2 linked regions of the Danio rerio genome follow. The protein of the gene in region 1 purifies or fractionates together with the protein of each later gene. This does not show direct contact. Links are inferred from orthologs where the notes say so. Each region holds a gene or a part of one and is shown on either strand. Other genes may lie near its edges.

The links. Proteins that work in one complex are often made in the same cells at the same time.
Region 2: the proteins of xpo1b (region 1) and nup62l purify together in Homo sapiens (affinity purification with western blotting; 4 studies listed by BioGRID and IntAct, with this or other methods). This does not show direct contact. The link is inferred for Danio rerio from reciprocal best matches to the Homo sapiens genes XPO1 and NUP62.

Annotation. Positions count from the first base shown.
Region 1 is NC_133192.1:25,333,439-25,336,619, reverse strand, and holds part of xpo1b (exportin-1), read right to left. Parts: intron 2,170-3,181; coding exon 2,001-2,169; intron 1,913-2,000; coding exon 1,778-1,912; intron 1,477-1,777; coding exon 1,317-1,476; intron 960-1,316; coding exon 863-959; intron 1-862. UniProt on the Homo sapiens protein: Mediates the nuclear export of cellular proteins (cargos) bearing a leucine-rich nuclear export signal (NES) and of RNAs.
Region 2 is NC_133189.1:11,208,268-11,211,927, forward strand, and holds part of nup62l (nucleoporin 62 like), read left to right. Parts: intron 1-2,855; exon of another isoform or gene 2,856-2,925; coding exon 2,926-3,030; intron 3,031-3,660. UniProt on the Homo sapiens protein: Essential component of the nuclear pore complex. The N-terminal is probably involved in nucleocytoplasmic transport.

The DNA of each region.
Region 1 (3,181 bases):
TCTTGACAGGCTAAATTAAGTTATTCTTTGCAGCTAGCCTACACCAGAGCAGGCTAACAACCAGGCTAAGATTAATCCTAGTGATTTATAATGTTAGTTTTAATGTCAATGCTACTAGAAATGAATGCGTTTTACATATCTTTTTTGTATTACTTATTATTATTATTATTATATAGTTTTTTTTTTTGATGAAACCTCAAATAAAAGATTAAATAGTCTCAATTATGAAGAAAAAAAGTATAAATGGAAATGATAGATAAATGATTATACTGATAAAGATTAAATAAACTTAATACAATAAAATAAACAGACAACGGGAGTTTCCAGATTGGTGGACAATAGAGGCATTTTTTAACTCACATCAGGTTTTATCAATATTTGTTACCATTGATTCTGTAATCGATCCTGTAATCTGTTAACATGTGCGTGAATGTCCACACATCCTGGCTATCAACATCAGGTTTGACATAGCGGCTTGTTCTCATCCTGGATAAGCAAATGTGCAATGGACTAAGCCTAGAGGACCTAATTAAACTAGGTCAAGCCATGCTTCTTCTGTTATCCTGGCTTTCTTGATTTCAATTTTCTACAATAACGCTCAGGATATAAAAACATGTACGTATACACACACACACACACTCTGTTCCCATGCACTTCAGCTGACCCATACAGTTTCACCACCCTTCATGGTCTCTTAAAAGGTCAAAGTTACAGCACACTTGCTTCCTCACACCATCTCCATTTCCTCCACTCACACCCTCATCTATCATCTGCTCAAATACGTCATTACTACTGACATTGTATTAAAGGCAACCCAATTTATTTAGAGATTATTAAGGCTCTCAACTGGTTTGCAGCTCACCTTGATCTGTACAAGGAAATCCCTCAAGTGCTCCTTGAATGCTGCGATGTCTTGGTTTAAACTGAACAGGCCAGTCACAAATACTTTTACCTGGGCACTACAAAGAGGAAGAAAACAATCATACAGTCAGATTGGAAATGAAACTAGACATGAACAGTTTGCAGACTGTTGCTGCAGAACTAAAACTGTATTAATTAATCTCACAGCAAGATGTCTACTGAGAACAAACAAGCTTTTACCTGAGAGATGTGTTGCATGACATTCAACCAAATGCAATTATCACCAAAACAACTGCAGTTAGTGGATTTACTGACACTGATTTTATTATTAACCTCCTAATGCTCTGAAAATCTGTATAGTACTTGGGTCCTTCTAAACCCAACGCATTAGTATTCCTTTTTCAAAAGATGCAGGTTTGTGAAGCATCAGCTCAGGTGCATTGTGGGATACTCACTCTTGTAAGTGTGGGAAAGCTGATTTAAGCAAGTTGGCCACATACTCCTGGATGAACACTTGGTTGTTGACTGGGTTTGATGGGTTCAGAGTTGTACTGATTTTTCCTTCCTCGACGAGGTTAAACATGTACGCTAATATTGATGCGTGCATAGTTAAACCTAAAGTTTTAATGCAAAAAAAAAAATGACATATATAAGAACTGAATTATAAAAACTAGAGTCAAGCCTGAAATTATTCATACCCAAGCAAATTCTGACCTAAAGCTTTTGTTCGAATGTGAATAAAAGCTGAGAATTTGATGCCTCTTGTACATAGTCCTATTGTCTTTTAGGAGAAGCCCATGTCGCTTCTGTAAAGTAATTTTAAGTCAAAATTTGCCAGGGGTATAAACTATTTCAGGCTTGCAATGATTTAAAATAATTAATAGAGTGTTTTAAGGAGCAAGTGATAGGAGCTGACCGGCTGTGTGTGACGTGTCCGTGACGACAGAGAAGATGTGTTGAAGGATGTCACAGAAGTATGTCTGATAGAAGCTCTGAGCCGCTGCCTCCTCCTGAGCCACATTCTGCAGCAGAGTGTAGAGGATCTGCAGGCCTGCAGGACATTTCACATTGTATGTTATGCTTAATGATTATGGTTTATCAGTTAGGCATTACGGTACATAAGATATCAGTGTTCTCACCAGTGTCTGCCACATTTCTCATAGTGTGTTTAAAAGCCCATATAATGGAGTCCAGCACAAGCTTAAACTGGGCTGGGGGTATGGCCAAGAATGCAGGGAAACAGTGAGAGTTCACCGCCTGAAGCAGGTAGAAGAAATGCGTCCGGTGCTCTGGGTACTCTTCAAAATCCTAAACAAAAATATAAATGTATACTAGTTATTTAGTTGTTTATTTTTTATATCATGGAAAATAAATGGGGACTATATTATATAATATTTTCCCTTTTTACATCATTTAATAATTTTCTTTTTACGTGATAAACATTTATTAATTTCTGGTAAAATCTTATGCATTTCATTATAAATTAATAAATAAAGTAATAGTACTAGTGTTAAAAGTTTAATAAAATGTGTTTGATGAAAAGCGAATCGTAAAAAAGCGAATAATAAATTAATTTATCCATTCATAAATATTAGTACTAGTATTAAAGGTTTTTTTTATCTTTAAGCAAAATGGTTTTTGCAAAAAAAAAAAAAAACATTTGATCAAATATTGAAAGTCTCTTTATGATTTAGGAATTAATTTAGGTAAGGCTTTATTTTTATGGTCCCTATTGCACATTTTGTTGACAAAGTTGCATTGCAACCACATGACAATCATTTCTTATTTGAGTATTAGTAGACTGTCTGCTTAATATCAGTTGATACTGCTGTTTCAACAGACATTAAACTGACTATAAAAACTTTGCAAGTACATATCAACTTAAACTAACCCTTACCTAACAGTCTACTTATAATCTAATGAGAATTAACTGGCATGTAGATGCAATGTTTGTTCAATTCAACAAAATGCGTTTAAGGGACCATCAAAATAAAGTGATACCGTAATTTATTGTAAGTGAATGTACATAAACCCAGGTAAAAAAGGAATATAATGCAATTCAATGTGGGACACAATCTGCCCCTCGAGGATTTTGCTGGGAAAATTATTTTTATATTTGTGGCGTAAAATGACAGATTTTGTGATGCTTTCTCAAAACGTATGACATTGTGCACTTCAATTCTTGTGTTATGCTTTGAAAATACACAAACATTTTACAATTTGTATATTTTTGATCTCAAGAACCACTAGATTCAAAATTCTGGAGGGACTGAACAACAAACATGAATATAAGAAGTATGATGCAATCTGGCTTTAATAA
Region 2 (3,660 bases), on another chromosome or scaffold:
ATGGTGTGCTCAGTGGTATACAATTACATATTTTGACAGGCAGGTATGACAGCCTATCGTAATGTTCGGACCTAACATTTTGATTGGACAAGCTTTTCTTTTAATAAATTTATATTATAATCAGTTATAGGACTTGACATTAACATCCGCCAACCTGCCAAATGTGGATAGATTTCAGCTGTGGTGGATTAGATCGCCACTCCCGCTAGCGACTTTGGCTGGTTGAACATGATTTTTAAATTGCTAGTGCTGGCTCGTCTCTAAATTTAGAATTTTAATTTATAATTTGTCAATATGCATGCAGATGTGATCTTAAATCGAGAAGCAGCATGACTTAATTGTTCGTGCATGCAAAAGAAAGCAAGTCAATATGAGATATTCAGGCGCACAGTTAGACACAGGAGATCCTTACTCACTAATGAGGGCTTTAGTGTTGGTCGCACAGTTGATGTGATGCGCGAGTGCTTAAAAGCTCCCGTGTCCCGTTTCCTTGCATGAAGCAACCATGCCTGAAAACAAAACTGGTGCGATCGGTTCTCTTTGAAATAGACTGGGTAAAAAAAAGCAATGCTCGTGCACCCACAGTCCTGCTGCTTTTTGAGATTTTTTATTAAATTTTAAACTTTAGTTGATGTGTAATGTAGCTGTGCAAACATAAACAACATTTCTAAATGTATTTTGCTCAAAGTTCAGTGTAAAGGGAGACGTTAGCTTTTACAGAGTTAGCTTAGCATAGCCTACAGCGAACGAAGTTTGAGGACTAAAAAAAAAGCATCCGGGTTAATGAAGTCATAAACCCTTCAGGTTACACACAAACACCCCGTCCAGCGAAGAGAAATCCAAATGTTTTCTGACTGCAATGGTAAATGGCCAATTTTACAATCTGACAGATTTATTAGCTGTTAACTTTTGTCTGAAATGTTGTAAAACAGTTTTATGCCTGGATTTTATAAATAGCCTTGCATCTACTAACACGCACTGTATTTGAAGTCTTTGGAAGTGATTAGCGTTTTTCTCCTGTAGAAAAAAATCTCATAAAAATAACGCTAAGCGGCTCAATGTATTACATCAGTGTTCTAAAAGACTAAACACTTTATTGATATAATATTCAACCAAGCACATGTGGTCAGAACACAAACGAGTCCTAGGTGATGAAGGTAAAAGTGTTTCTCCCCAAGAAAAGCCCGTCTAAACAAAATGCTAGCAGGCATCTGTAGCTCCGCTCATGCTCCAACTCTTTTCCCTTGTTGGGTATCCCCTGGTCAGTGCGATAATGCGTGAACAAAATAGCGACGCTTGGCCATACGGCGCCTACTTGTAGCTTCTTTTGCGCTCTTCAGAAACCTATGATTATGTCATGGATACTATGTCCATATTTTTTGGTCTATGGTTGAAACAGACGTTTCTTGGTGATGTGATCTGCAAATTACTAAACATTGTTAGCTGACCAATCAGAGCCTCTTAAAATAAAATACACTCTGGACTACCCCTTTAATAGAAGATTGACTCTCCATATACTCAGCCAGGACCGATTACTGTGTATAGTTTTAGATAAATTAGATTTTTTATTTTTTTTTAAATGTCAGTTGTTTTTTTTAAAGAACATTTTTGTTGAATAATAAGTGCATTGCTATATTTTGCTCATTTTTACACATTATTTAAAATTTGTGGCAAGGAAATAATTAGTTTGGTGTGGCCAGAGAAAAGTGTTGAGCGCTAAAACGTCATGTAAAATGCAACAATATGAAACCCTAACACATTTGCTCATCCTCATTGAGCAAAGTCACAACACTCAAAAAATGAGGAGGCATGTGGACATAATACATAATATAAATCAAGTAATTTTAGGATGCCAAAATCAAATTTATGCATAGAAAAACTATTTTCCCAACAACAAAACTGTGGCTAGTAAAAATGCCAAATGGCTAGTAACGTACAGCAGTTTAGTTTAGTACGCTGGTCAGATAATAAAATGGTGAATTGTTTAATTGTGGGTGGGCCGCAGGTAGATAATATAAACATGTTTTAAGCATTTTTTTATATGACAGACTGGCACAAATATGCGGATTATATGTGGCCAGACTTCCAAAGACAGATGCTGGGGTTAGTAATGTTTATCATAGTTGCATAATTAATGCTAATGTCACTGAAACCAGATGATATAAAACCATGATTAAATGCTCTTGAACCCCTTTTTCAGTTCAAGTCTACATCAGAATTGTTTGTAAAAATGATACATAATGGACATGGAGATGAAGTTAGACAAAATTAATACAATTATCAGAATTTCCTCATAACTAAAGCTAATTGGTGCTTATGTTGTGTGCATTGATGCTCAACACAATCTGTGAATCTCAAAAGAAGTCAAGGTTCTAATGAACCTTTAAAACAGGCATCACTAAACTTGTTTCTGGAGGGCCGGTGTCCTGCAGATTTGAGCTCCAACCCTAATCAAACACACCTGAACAAGCTAATCAAGGTCCTACTAGGTATACTTGAAACATCCAGGCAGTAGTGTTGAGGCAAGTTGGAGCTAAACCCTGCAGGACACCGGCCCTCCAGAAGCAAGATTGGTGACCCCTGCTTTAAAACAAAGAATTAGAATAAGCTAATTATTGTGATGATCGCTATATCAGCGAAAACTGTAGGTGCGGCTGGCATTTGGGAATTTGTATAAATTCACAATACTAATGTGAATACATTTGGACCACTTGATTTAATGATTGCTATTAGGATGTGAAGAAACTTTCAACCAGCGTTACTCAGTTTGATCTGAAGACAATCGCCTATTGCACCTTTAGTAATTGTAATAGTAATTGTAATAATTCTTTCAATGATGACAAAAGATGTGGCAGTGCTGCTATCATGTCAGATGACTGTTTAGAAAATGGCATGAGATCACATGAGCTGTTCTGTTTCTTTCAGTGGGCTCCTCGACGGCATCAGTGGCCCCTGTCATGACCTCAGGATCCAGTGCTCCAGCAAGCCTGTCACTGAAACCTCTAGGAGCTGTTCCTGCTATAACCACAGGTACCCACACTTATTTTCATACACCGATTTATTTTTTTCAGTGGGTTTACATACATCAAAGGTAAAAAAAAAATAGTTAATGATATACATTGTAGCATTTTTATCACATTAAACTAGGGTTGTTCTGATTATAGAATTGAAAATACTCGCTTATACTGCAAACATTCTGGTATCGGTGAATATTTGAAACCATACAGTGATCCATCTGTTTTAAATGAGACATATGCCTGCTAGCTTTGCTTAACACTGCAAACCTGGAGTCAGTTCTTGCTTAGAATGCAAACAAAGGAATTTGTGCTTTGTTGCCACAACAGCCACTGTTAGAGCAGAGAAGAAGAGAGCAACAGACTATTTTATTTTTATAGATTTCTGAATTTTAAGCTTTAAAGAAATTATTTTTCACATTTATTTTTATATTTTATTTTTTTTTTTCATTTTATAAAGTTACACTGTAAAAAACTTTTCAGTTTATGTTTGATTTGTAGCTGAACTTGTTTCAGTAAAGTACCGTGAATAATAACACTGTTGAATGTCTGATAATTAAAATGACAGATAATGAAAATACACTAGTTCACTGTATGTATTTGTTCATGTTTTGTTAAGTTCACCATAAATTCATTCTGGCATTTA